Linked DNA regions of Neodiprion lecontei. The protein of the gene in region 1 purifies or fractionates together with the protein of each later gene. This does not show direct contact. Links are inferred from orthologs where the notes say so. Each region holds a gene or a part of one and is shown on either strand. Other genes may lie near its edges.

Region 1 (6,370 bases):
ACTTGCAAGTAAAAGATACAGACAGAAATCTGAATAAGTTAGAATAGTAAATTCGTCAAATTCTTCCAGAATTTCAATTCCCGTATTATTGAAACATTTTTACTTTTGGCAAAATAGCAAAGAACGTTGTTTTATAACGATTTGTAAAATGCGTGACGGAACTTACCCTTTACTCCTCTCTACAGCTTCGCAACTAATGTTGTCAAAGAATGATTTGGACTTGTCGTAATGTACGACGTCCGTTTCTTCCTCAGGCTCTCCCTCGCCCGCTCCAGTTTCATTGCCGCTATCGTCTTTTTTCTCATTGTCAGTACCGTTGTCAATCTTAGTCTTAGCCAATTGGGACCTGCAATTTTCAATCAAACTGCATACTCCGTCATAAATTATATGGCAACTCATTTGTCCAAATGTTAATAAGCAATGTATCAAACCAGATCTCACCGAGAATATAAATCCTTTAAATTTTAATATACTCGGTTTAAAATATATTACTTGAATGTATTTACAAAAACGGGCATTTCAATATCTAGTTCGAAAACAGCGAATTGTATTGTTCAAGTGCGTCTACCTTAGCTCTTCGAACTGCGTATTGGCTTGTTCGAAGTCGTAGTCATTCTCGAACTTCAACATGTTCTTCGGCTTGTTATTTATGCTTCCTGGCTGCGGGGGTCTGAAGGTACCTCCGCCACCACCGCCGCGTCCCCTTCCTCGTCCGCGAATATTTCCTCGAGCTATCCAACCGCCGCGATTTCCGCGTCCCGCCTGATGCATCTGGGCGTGATTCGGCCCTGAAGGATGTCCGTGTCCTTGAAGTTGATTTCCGTCCTGCTTTTCACGATTGTCACGCTTTCCGTCGCTATACTGGGACATGCCGCTGCCGGTTCGCCCGCTGCCATGACTGCGAAAGTTTATTTACATAGGTAAATTGCACAGTTAAAGAAAATGAATGAGCAATGATAGAATATTTAAAGAATGAAAGTACAAGTCATATTTTTACCAACCTTTCACGATCGCGATAAGATGGTTGTATGGTTCTAGCGTTGGGCTTGTCGCTCATCGGTTTGTGGATGTTGGCGTTCGTCGACCGCTGTTGATGGCCAACCTGCGTGCCCTGATCCATAGTCGGACTTTTCCTAGTCATCAGGGATGAAGTGGGAGTAGTCGATCGAGATCCTCCGCTGATCAAGTCCAACACACCTGTGTAGCAGGGGGGAAAATTCGATTTTTTAATTGGGATACTTTTGTTTTATCCTTTGACTTTCCACACGTATACAAACAATATTTTTGAGGCAATCTTGAGGCAGACGAATTTACCAATAATGCAAGAGAAGACAGACATCCTGTTCTAATGCGATCAATGATGCCCTTGAACAATTCTGGTGTATTGCCATGAGATATTGGACTTTTTACATCTTCCGCAGCTCTGTCACATTAAATAAGCCGCAGAAGATGCATTTTTGTCAATTAGTTTTAGTTATCTACAGCACCGGATAATTGAAGAATTATTCAGCTGATTTCCGACAAAAAAAGAACCAGACAGACAGTGAATGTTGTTTCAAAAATTTTGAAACTGTTCTACATCTTGAGTAATACGTTATAATTGAAGGTCACAATTATCACACGGTGCTGAGATGGTTAGTAATAGTTATTTAGAAGGTAAAATGGTAAACTGTATGAAACGGTAGCAAGGAAGATGAACAATTATATTAAAGCATCGGTGTACTCTCTTTTAAAATGATCTCATAGTGATTTTCTACAAATTCATGCTAGATTTCGGAACATGACAAATGAAAAAAACAAATAAATAAATCATTTAAAAGAATTTGCAATTGAGAATAAATGAATACATGCCAACAACGTGGATAGAGATAGAGATAGATGGAAAGATGGATCGCACAAGTAAAGTTGCAATCGATTAAGGAAAGTTACACGTATTTTATACCATAATGTAAATGATAACTGGTTTTGCTATATTTGTTCTTTCGTTTGTTTGTAGGCAAAACTATACTGTTCCTAGTTGAAGAAGAAACAGATTAAACATGCAACGAAAAGAGTCAAATGGAACAGTGACAAAGCACTATTGAATCGATACGATTTGGTTAAGGAGTTTTAAAAGCTGTTCCAAGAGTGAGCTGAACAATACCAAAACTTGAAAGTACAGTTCACCTCATGACTGAAACATTGCACATGTAAATAACGAGAATTTGATATAAATAATTCTTTATACGATCCGCGTCATGTTTCAAATGCAAAAAATGAGTTGAAATTTCTCAAATGTAGCGAGTTGAGATAGATGTAATAAAATTCGTAGAATAAAAAAGCATCTATTCGCAGAAGCAGATTTAAAAGAAAGACAAGAAAATATGTACAGAGACCAGCCAAAGCAGAAGTGCATTAATGTAATGTTATTTTTGCAGCAAGAACCGTAATTTTTCGGTCCACGTTAAACCGTTCATAATAAAAAAGGCACGACTGACTCTTTTTCTCTTGGTTGAAGTAAAAAAGCAACGAGAGGCGAGCAGATGTTAGATAAAAGTGAAGAATAAATAAACAATTATACCAAATCAAGCTGAAAAGCATCAGGCATGCCGGGTAGCAAGATCATAGCAAAAACAGTTTACCATCTTCCAAAGATTGGTCTTTTTGAATTTGATCAACGTTGCCCGGTGCTATCGAGTTTGGGATCGAGACGACGTTGGGTGCTCCAGTGGAGCCCAGGCCCAACTCACTTGGTTGTTTGTTCATAGCGACTCGAGGATCTCGTCCAGCTGCAGGCATACCCATAACTGGACCCATGGCTCCCATGGCTCCAATTCCACCCATCGCGTATCCGCCTCCGTACTGGCCGCCCATTGGTCCGATTTGACCCATCATCGGATGGTTGAATCCTGGCTGTGGCTGGTAAGACGGCTGACCCATGTTGGGCTGTACTGTCATCTGTGAATTGGTAATATTTATGTAACAAGTAACCGAGCTGCCGCGTCTGCCGTAATAAAGCTGGACAATTTACACAAGTGTTAGTAAAATTGAGCGATGAAGCAAAATAATTCATTTCAAAAATGATCTTTGAATCAGCAATATTTTACCTGGACAATGGCTGGATCGTTTGGAATGGTGCTGACATTGTTGACGACTCTGATGTCTTTAATGTCAGATCCTCGAAATAATATGTATTCATAGACTTGGTTTTGTGGCGCTACTGGAAACTGGGTTTCTCGATCCTCAGTCCCAAAGGAACGAACTGTAACGAATAAAAACAGTCTTAACGAAAAATAGTAATCGATCGTTAGTGAGTATTTGGCACTCGTCGGAATGTGTCTTAAAAATAATAATAATAACATTAACGATAATTTATGAATGAAAATTATTGAACATTGTCTGAATTTTACTCTCTCTATTGATATTAGAGAAATTGGAAAACTTGTGAGTAAAATGCAAGACTGTTATTTGAAAATAATCGAGCAAAAACATATATCTTTGTAAGAAAATCAGAAAGTACAATTGATTGACGATTATCAATGATGTGATACGTTATACACAAAATCGATTCCAACTATGTTTACGTTTACGTTAATCCCAGAATTCGTTGAGCGGATATTTCAAATCCAAACGGTTCTCGTTTGAATAGATAGAACGCTCGAAGGAGGGAGAAAAAAAAAAACAAAAACAAAAACAAAATACAATCTCTTAGGTGAACCTGAGAGCCCGTCATCATACGACTGTGCTGAAATATATTCTTCACAACAAGCGTTTGAAGGTGATACACGTAATTTTGACTAGGATATCATGATGGAGAAGTGAAATAATAGAAGGGGGGGGGGGGGGGGGGGGGGGGGGGGAAGAGAAGAGAGAAATTACAGTAGATATAACTAATTGAAATATCGCAATGAAATTGTTGTTATTTCAATCATTGCGGATGAAACGTAACTGCGACAAATTTTCGGAAAGAGGAATAACAACGTAAAGAATGGAAATACATAACACAGCGGAAGAACGAGAAAGAGAGAGAGGGGGTGAGGGGGGAAGGGGGGGGGGGGGGGAGAGAAAGACAGAGAGATAGGCAAAAGATTGCGACGCGAGATTGCAGGATCGTAAACTCTGGTGACCTGGATTGTTTTCATAAAAAGAAATGAGAGAAAAATATATGATATGAAAAAGTGATAAGTTAAGGTAGTACAGAAGAACTGTCAAAAAAGAATATAATCAACCGGTATCAATAGTTGAGAATGTAAAAGCTACTTGTGGAATATCGAGTAGTTGTTGAATTACAGGGAAATAAAGGTAATAAAAGATGTTCTGGTCGTCTGCGAGCATCGGGCGGTTAGGCTAAACTATGAAAACGGCGGAAACAAAGTTGATGCGAGAAAGAAAGGAGTCCATCTTACCGTTGGCTAAGGCGATCGTGCACTCCTGTGGATCGACGGTAAATAAACGGCCTTCATAACGAATATCTGCCTTCGATATTAGGCTTATCTTAGAACCAAGCTCCGGCATTCCGGCACTCATCTTGAAACTTTTATGTATTACTAACGATCAACGAGATGTACTTAGATACCCGATACCGTCCGCATCTACCGCTCCATACAACCGTCTGAACGCGAAACGATATACCACAAAAACTATGCGCTGCTGACTCTCTATACGCTCTACGCGCCAGCTGACACCGATGGACGATGTACGCGATGGCGGAGGATCTACGACACCCGAACGCAAGGCTGCCAACTTGACGATACGAACGCGCGTCGGTCGTCTGCTCGAAAATCTGGTCTAATCTTAATCTGAAATTTTTAATTATTACAAAACTTTTCACCGGTCAGCTACGCGTCGGTGATAAATCTGTTTCAGGCATCTATCGTTGTTCGGATTTTCAGCGTTAGATGATTTCCAATAATTTAGGACTCTCACATTTACCGTTCGACAAACGCTTAGATAACGTTGGCTAACATGGAATCGTGACGTCATCGCAATATTCCTAATCTTACAATAATTGATTTTAATTATATTATGAATAGCATTATAGTCGATATTTGAACGAAAATTAATAATATTTTCAACCTCCATTTATCCGGTATTTATACTCGGGATGTATGCAGAAAAAATATCTTCGTCAAATTAACGGTACATCCAACGACTCGTGTTCTTTTGCAGTCTGCACCTCTAGCTAAGATGGCGGCATCGCTGGGAAGGGTTTGCGGTTCGGGTCTTTTAAAAGCCAGTAATGGTGCTCTATTTAATCAAGTAGGTAAATTTTGACCCGAAAAATCGTGGCTTACTACTCAGAGTTTAATTCGCGATAATTCCGATCGAGCTGTTCCTTTTGTCAAAGTCACAAATTGGCCACGACTGTCTCTCTATCGAGGGAAGTTCACTCCTCACAAACCTTTGACTGAACGTTTTACCATCATAATTTAACCGTCTGTAATCGTCAGTTCGTTATTACGAGTCATCTATAGTTAGTTTCTAAGATAGCTGGCGGTTTATTGACAAACTACTTAATCAGAGCAAAGGTCCAGAGGATACTTTGACAATTTTAGTGTCCATTTAAAATGATATATTCTCCCTTCATACACGTTATGTAATAGAGCAACATTCAGCCTCTTGTTATGTACGCCTGTTGACACATTTTATGCAGTTCTGAATTTATCATTATAACGAGAAGAAATATCTCCTTCATCTTCTTGCAGGTCAGCACCTTCTCGACCGCCCGAGACTGGGCAAAGGGACGAAAAACGGTACGTCACATAACAATGCACAGCGTCTAACGTCCTTCCCTGCCCTATCCCAACCTCTAGAGTTCCTAAAATTCATGACGACATCCCTGAAGTTTGATTTTATTTTACTCCGTGAGTAAAATATACCAGGATATTAATGATATCCCATGATATCCCTGAAACTAGACAATTGGACATTTTTGGTATTTGAAAACCTGACGCGAAGGGCGATCGTACAGTTTGTAAAAATAATTTTAATATCTTAGTCAGTTACGTGTTTCTCACCGCATTTCGATGTGTAAATAATTCCCAACCGCAGTGGTTTCTATTGAAATTTGCAGTTGCTAGCATGCCTTGGCGTTGCGACAGGCGGTGCTGGAGCTTTGGTATATGCCTTGGAAAGTTCCGTGAAAGCTGAGGGCGTTGAATTACACGCTCCAAATTATGCCTGGGACTTTTATGGGCATTTAAGTTCCTTCGATCATGCCAGGTAACGTTGAATCAAATGTGATGTTAATTGGACTTCTAGGAGAAGTGTAAAATATATGTAGAGTCGGAAGATTGAAACGTAACTTGCACTCATAACAATTTCAGCTTGAGAAGAGGTTGGGAAGTATATAAGAACGTCTGCTCCTCGTGCCACAGTCTCAAGTACGTCG
Region 2 (7,691 bases), on another chromosome or scaffold:
TCAAATCCGTAATTTTTCGAATTCTTCCAAAATTCAAACGCCACTTTTCAAAGAACAAAAAACAACGATTTTTTGATGCTTTAGCCCCCTTCAATATTCCATGCTCTGGAATAGCTACTCAGCTTTAATTCGTTCCTCGGAAATTTGTCCTTGAATTGCAGCCCTGGTCATAAATTTAGTTTTCTGTCAAACCTTATTCTTCATGCACATGAAAAGTTAAAGAACGGATCAGAAAAGTTTTGCCGAATCCCACGGATTGGATGCCTGTGTAGCAAAATTAGGGATCTGTTTTTTTCACAATTCTTAGTACAAACATAGAAAATTCTTAATCAATACTTTTCAAACAATACCCTATTAAAATACTATCCAGAGTTGTGTCTTTTGAAGATAGCATTTCAACGCAGATTTTATATCAATGAGGATCGGTGGTTCGAATATTGTCCAACCGCTAGAGAGGATATACATGTAAGCAGTAGTTTTAAACTTTAACTATCAGACTAAACGTTTACGGACTAATTGCGAACGAATTTACACTGTCGCTATTTTGAAAAGTAATGTTATCATGCTGCGTCACGCAAACCCTGCTATTACTTCAAGCAGGGTATCGTTGCAGAATGACTTTAAACAAAAACTTTGCGATTGACATTTCAAGACTACTATGGCGAAATATTTAATATCCATAATTTTTTTTATTTCTTGGTTTGCAACCAAAAACACTGATTTCATGTCCTGAGATGCACCTGAATTTTCGATCGGTCGAGCTTGATCGAAAATTCTAATCATGATATCTTAACGGCTAAATCAAACTGGTTTAGCTGATGTCCAAAAGTACTATAAACGATAAAGTAGAGGTTGCTAAATATTCCACTAATAAATATTCGTTCATTATCAGACTTAGGCCTTCAAATAAGCCTGACTGATGGAAATTTTAGATGCATATCTCAAAAAATAGAAACTAAAAAATACAGAATCAAAATTGATGCTGCTGGCTTGCTAAAGCTGTGCATTCATGATTTACCTCTTTGACATTTCTTTTCTTGCATCGTCAACTCATGAATAACTTTACATATTTTCGAGGTGTTAATAATGTATAACTATAATTATTTTGAAGGTGTTAATAATGTACTGTTCAAAAGTGTATCCCAATCAAGTTGCATGTATCGTTCTCAGCTCACATTTGTTTCCACTCAATGAAACAGAAAATAATTATCGTTTTGTTACAGTGGGTATGAAGATTTTTCAAATACGTTCAATGTCCGTAAAAGCTTCACCGATTTTCTGTTATTCTCTACTTACATGTCGACATGTCAACGCTATGGATGCAAATTTTTGAGATATTGTACGTTCTCTCGGTGTGTGTGAGTGGTTAAAACGATATATTCTTATTTTTGGACCGTAAAATAGTTCAGTTGCTGAAAAAGAAGTTTCTGCAGCGACTATATTCTCTATTGATGTAAGCAAAGCTTCGCACTCGCTTGTCCTCCGCTATATGAATTTCGCAATTTTTTTTCTTATGTCAAGGCTTAAGGAAGTTGGTCGGTAAAAAAATTAATGCATTTTATTAATCTTATTATAAGACGGTACGTACATTAAAAATTTATGAAATCGTCTTTTTCAAAATACCAAAATAGATACTGGAATTATGAAAAAAAGTTTAAATATCTATGAAAAGTGTGAGGTTGAAATTAGTAACATTGTAATGAAACATCGGATTGTCCGAAACGTTAATTCATTACAATAACGTTACTAACTTCAAGATCATAAAAAAGTGTGTCAGTGAATTTGTAGAAAATTTAATAGTCCTTTAAATAAAATGAGCCATCATCGAGTGAAATCGAATGAATCTAGTAGATTCGTAACAATTTTGAAGCAATTTGAAACGAAGCATCGATATCTAAGCTCTTGCTTGCAATTCCAGTATTTTCTATTTTTTCATTCTCATAGCGATCTTTCCAGCTTAAGAATATATTAATTTGATCAATACTACATATACGACTACCTCCTAATAAAATTTATAAAAAGTATATGATTTTGACCAACCAACTTTCTTACTTAAGCTGGGTACAATAAGTCGGAAAAGTCGGAGATTCTTTCGTTATCCCGGCGACAAAGCGAAAAACATTTTCTTTCCAAAATTATTCCTTTATCCGCGAACTAAATTCAACCTGGTGATCGCATAAAATATTTGCACACTTCCTAAAACTTATACCCGCCCCGAAGTTTTTACGTCCAACAATCTTTTTTTTTTATTTTTAATTTTTTTTTTTTATTTATTTAGCGAAGTTCAAATTAGTAACGTAATAATCGTAATAAAACACAAAAACAATCTATATTTTGCAGCAGGACAAGGAGTTTGAGAGAAGTTTGCTTTATTACGATTTACTGAATTTTTTAATATTTACATAAAGTTACGAAATAACGATTTTTGACGAAACACACTTCGCTATATTAACGTTACAAACTTTAATCTTACATCCTACTAACGATTGCTCATTCTATGCGGCGCATCCCCTACACTCTGTACTCAATTTCAAGGCTGAAAAACTTATTTTTTGCTCCGAGGGCTGAGTGTACAAGAGAACCAAACCTGTATCTGAATTATACCGTTCTAAGTCAACAATTACAATATACTCAAGGGCGAATTTTGCGCTCTACATGCCTGCAGTTCGAATTGATTTTTGCGCGTCGTTTTTCCAACTGTAGTACATCGCAAGGAAAAATTGAATGTACAAGGCAAACTGCGCAAAAATCATTCTACAAAACCGTGAGCTAATTCTTCAATCCATGAGTAACTAGTATTAGAGGCATATTCTAATTCATCGGATAGACGCCAGAAAAAAAAATTGTATTTAGTTTGTACTGGATTTTACATACATTTCACATACTGGATTACGAATCAGAAATTTAGTCAAAACGGTCTGTCTTCAAGCGTCTCGTACTTTCCGACGACTCTCGAGGATATTGTCCCCAAGTTTGAGCATCCATTTCGGCTACATTGTTCACGTGGTCAGCAAGAAGTCGGGTTTATAGCATGTGTATTGGTGTCCAAATAGTAAACATCGCGGTCGAATTCAAAGGACAACGGTTTAGCAAGTACGGCAGGCAAGAAGCAGTACATGAATTTGTCCGTGGTTGAAAATCGCCAGTTGTCTTTCGAGACGAAATCAGTTAGCGTTGAAAGAGTCGATCGCATCTTCTAATCGTTAAATCCGTATTTCACCCGTTCGATTCAGCTACTTTTGTTTACGTGTTCAAAAATATTGCTTATTCCGTTGCAAAATGAAGCTGGAAAATAACGAAATCAGCGCCGGTTCAACTTATCGATACCGGCGTCCGCGTCGTCGCCCGCTTGTTGGGCCGACGGGTTCGTGTATTCTTGATTCTCTGGTTATCCAGAATCAAGGAGTTCGATGGTCTCGTCGCAACCGTGCTTCCAATCCCGTAAAAAGAGTTACTTTTCGTGAGTATCACTTGGCTATCAGAGTTTCAAATTTTCTTTTTCATTAAGGGGGTACCCTGGTCGATTTCGACGTTGTCGTATATATGCATCTCCAAATATCGAAGTCCACGTATCTCAAACGCAAAAAAGGACATCATCCTTTCAGTTGCACATTTTTCAACTCAATATTTCAGCCTGAATTTTGTGACATGGGGGTTTTTCAGGTTGCTAATTACGAATCTGAAATCAGAATTCAATCATTTCTAAATCCAATATAACGGATGTAAAATCTAATAAAAACTATAAAAATTCGATGATTCTGGTCCAAACTTGTTACTCGAGGATTTTGGTGTTATATATACGTAACAACGATCATTTGATGTTTTAAATAAACTGCGATAAGGCTAGGAAATGGAAATGTTGAGGTGAGACGCTGAGCATCTGTGACTGAAAGGGTTAATCCTTTCCGGTTTCTCTTCTAGTTTTGTTTCATCATCATTACAGTTTTGTTGTAATTCGCTAGGGCAATTTCTCCTTATTGCTAAAGACGAATACGCCTACATTACATTCAAAATGCTTCGTGTACAGGCTTTGCGCGGACAATGTATTATGATTTATTTGCGGATACTAGTTCAGTGTCACGATCGGTGTTGTTTGATCTCAATATTGACATACAACGATACGTACATTGTACATATACCGCGAAAATATGGCGAAGCCGGCAACTCGTCGACCGAGACGAGGTGACTCCGTGTATTGCGGCAACCATGGCGGAATGGCCTTTTCTCACCGCGAAGACAGTGAAGTTAGTAACGTTAATGTAACGATTAATTTTTAGGAAAAATCATTATTTCGCAACTGTAGGATCGTCTCAAATTGACTAAGCTATTTTTAAAAAGCCAAATGTATTCTGATTATGGAAATTAAATTCCTTTAAAGTCGTTTTAAATTTTCAGAACAATAGTTTTAGTTTCAATATTTCGTTACTTTAACGCTACTAACTTCAATCTGATTCATTGCGAGAGTGTCAGGTATCCGCTTTACCGATCCGCTAACTTGCAGACAGCTTTTTAGCCTCAATTATCTCGATCTGGTTGCAATTTGGATGATTTAGAAAGTCCAATTTTCAAGCCCTTGTACGTCAAATGTTTACGAGTTACGATCAATTTTATCACGGTTTCGAATTTTTTGTACTTGTTGGAAAACATTTGATCTCTCCGAATATAAAATACATTTGAAGGCATGAGAAATTCAGGAATTGCCAAAAACAATATATGTTTCCCGACATTTTCAGTCCTGTATATGCGAAGAGGGTAAAAATAAACTGTATTTATTTTTCCGTGTAATATAATGGACGTTTTGTAGTATATCCTGGAATTTTGAGAGTAAACTGAAAATGGGATTATATTTATAATCGATATAAATGTACCAGGGACATATAAGGTGTTTAGAAAATTCAAGATCCTTGGAATATTGACATTTATTTTAACTCGGAACCCATTTTCATCCCACATTAAAAACTTCAGGATACCGTCTAAAATATCTAATTCTTCGATCAAAAGAATGAAAACAATTAATTTCCTAGACTTATTTTTGCATGAAACGGCATAAAAGGGCTCTGCTGCTTTCTTGCGATTGTAATGCATAAGCGTTGGTAACATTTAAATTAAGCGAAATTTTACTCGGTCGGTACAGACTGATTATAGCATCGTCTTAAAGGCTAAAAATTGAACGATTTTCATAATTAATTGTAAGTGTACACTATGAGGTACTGAAGTACAGTCAGAGCTAATATTTTGCCCTCAAAAACTGGCACATATCTTAAATCTGCCAACAGAGAGACTGAGGCAACCCATAGTTTCTGATTCTGGATGTGGGGTTATGTCTCCGGACCCCATCTTTTGCACTCTGGTTTACGTTTTTCGGTAGCAATACTGTCACATATATAATTGGTCTTATCATCATCGTTTATATGGCATCTATGTGACTTACAAAATGACAGCTCATTTATACATTTGTACATGTATCATGCATGCGATGGTTTAACAATAATTTCATAATCATAATAAGTACTAACATTAACCTGAAGTTCAAAAATTCCTCACTCTTATCATTTTTAAGATCCTTGCTGTGAAATATAACTATTCAAATAACTCGTAACTAGATAATTCATTTCACATCATTTATTGTGCGATTTTCCAAACCCAGTAATATGAATTGATAATAATAAGAATTATATCTGTGTTTGTTGCGTATATATGTATAATAAACTGAATTTCATACATTTTAGTTTTTTGAATGATGTTGAAAATTGAAAATATTGCTGCAGGAGATGAAGCGATAATATCGATGTCTGTGGCAGGCGAAGTGACTGATACTTCTATTGTGGAAGTGGGCAGATCTCGACCTCAGTTTCAATATACTCGGGTAAGCGAAAGATGTATTACTATTAATTTTAGGTAATGGTCAGATCTTTCACTAATTCAATTCATGATATAATAATCATTGTGACTTTCCATCCATAGGAGGAACTGATGGAAATGAAGACTCAACCTCTATCCAAGCGTAGGCCAGATTGTTTGGATTCCGCTTATAATAAGTGCGTTTATATTTGTGTATATTTTATTTATTGAAGTTCCATAATTATTTGGTATATTTGTTATATCTAAATTACAATTGTTTTTCCATCCAGTTCGCGAGGCGTTTGGGACCCTGAGCGTTGGCATCTTGATAGAAAGCGAAGTGAAACTCCTCCTGACGATGACAGAAATGGACGCGGGGATCAAGTGATTGAAAATCATAGTAAACGTCGCAGCGGTGATTTTCGGGAACGAATCCGTAAAGAGTCGGATGGCATAGTGCTGAGTCCTCAACGCCGAAATTTTAACTCTGGATGCTTTGTCAATGTAAGCCAGCTGCCAACTCGGCGTCCAGAGAGCCCAATCAGCAAACCAGAGGCGAGTAACTGGAAATTGTGGTTCAAAATAATATTCAGGGTGTATATCACATAAAAAATCTGGAATTAACCCATTATGTTTCTTCCTTTTGATGGTTCTGTATGCACCCTGAATATTAAACTTGAAAGACATTCGATGCGAAATATACTTTATAAATACATAGATAAATGAATATCTTTATGTATACAGCAGGTTGGGCATCGGGAACAAGTGCGTCGTATAGGTTCTGGTCGCATACTGACGCGAGACGTCTGGGACTTCAGACCTGATACAGAGAAACTTGAGCCTGATCGCCCGGAATTTAGCTTCAGATCTGGAGCAACAGGTGGAGCACCACTTCGAGACAGAGATGTCAGGGACACTCGCGATGTGGGAAGGGATCGCGAAGGACTTAGAGACAGAGACCGAGATCGTGATAATATCAGGGAACGAGATGAAAGATTTGAAAGGCGTTCATTTACCAGAGACTTTGGTGATCGTGACCGAGATCGTGAACGTGACCGGATGGACAGAAGTGATCGACACGATCGCAGTCACCAGATGGATCGCGACAAGGATCGTGGTCGTGACAGAAGGTTTGGAAATGACCGAAGGCGAACTTACAGCGACAATAGAGAAATCGACGAACCAGAGTGGTTTAGTTCAGGGCCGACATCTCAGCACGACACCATCGAACTTCGTGGTTTCGAAGATATCCCTGAAGATAGAGCGCTCAACAATAACAATATGAAAGGTAAAAAGCAGTCACCTGCTCAGAAGAAACGGAGCAAGAAAAACTCGTTGGACAAAGATGACAAACAAAATGATAACACATCTGGGCCCAAGGGACGCAGCACACCCACACTAACCGATCAGCCAGCCAATTTAGCTCCAGCTCCACATTCGCCGATATCTGAACAAAACGATCTCTTGTCTTCCCCCGATTCTAAAGAGAAGCCTGACGCAGGGCAGAACTCAATTGCTACATCAAAATCGGCTAACGACAGTGGAGATGCTAACATGGCACAGACTAATAACCATCCAGATTTTAATCTCGATGATTTTCTCAAGTCTGACACCTTCCCTGGGGTTCATGGTCTTTTGACTGTAAGTTTATTCATGTTTTTACTTTATAAAAGAGAAAGTAGAAAACTTTGAACTGAGTGACAAAACTGCATTATTTGTAAACCGAATTTAAATCAATTATCATTGTTCTAGTCAATATTTTCCTGTTATGTATAAGTAATAAGTAACTGGAATGATGCATGCTTCGTTTTTATGTTAGAATGGCGTTGGATCGAGCAGTGGAACCGGAT

What was found. Proteins that work in one complex are often made in the same cells at the same time.
Region 2: the proteins of protein LSM14 homolog B (region 1) and eukaryotic translation initiation factor 4E transporter purify together in Homo sapiens (affinity purification with mass spectrometry; 3 studies listed by BioGRID and IntAct, with this or other methods). This does not show direct contact. The link is inferred for Neodiprion lecontei from reciprocal best matches to the Homo sapiens genes LSM14A and EIF4ENIF1.

The regions. Positions count from the first base shown.
Region 1 is NC_060266.1:24,400,322-24,406,691, forward strand, and holds the start of protein LSM14 homolog B, read right to left. Parts: upstream 4,691-6,370; 5' UTR 4,507-4,690; coding exon 4,386-4,506; intron 3,242-4,385; coding exon 3,087-3,241; intron 2,938-3,086; coding exon 2,622-2,937; intron 1,198-2,621; coding exon 1,002-1,197; intron 899-1,001; coding exon 569-898; intron 365-568; coding exon 167-364; intron 1-166. Other genes in the region: cytochrome c1, heme protein, mitochondrial, read left to right, coding at 5,167-5,238, 5,685-5,732, 6,053-6,201, 6,306-6,370. UniProt on the Homo sapiens protein: Essential for formation of P-bodies, cytoplasmic structures that provide storage sites for translationally inactive mRNAs and protect them from degradation. Acts as a repressor of mRNA translation. May play a role in mitotic spindle assembly.
Region 2 is NC_060261.1:14,468,915-14,476,605, reverse strand, and holds the start of eukaryotic translation initiation factor 4E transporter, read left to right. Parts: upstream 1-3,105; 5' UTR 3,106-3,279; coding exon 3,280-3,460; intron 3,461-5,768; coding exon 5,769-5,866; intron 5,867-5,964; coding exon 5,965-6,038; intron 6,039-6,131; coding exon 6,132-6,396; intron 6,397-6,585; coding exon 6,586-7,482; intron 7,483-7,660; coding exon 7,661-7,691. UniProt on the Homo sapiens protein: EIF4E-binding protein that regulates translation and stability of mRNAs in processing bodies (P-bodies). Plays a key role in P-bodies to coordinate the storage of translationally inactive mRNAs in the cytoplasm and prevent their degradation.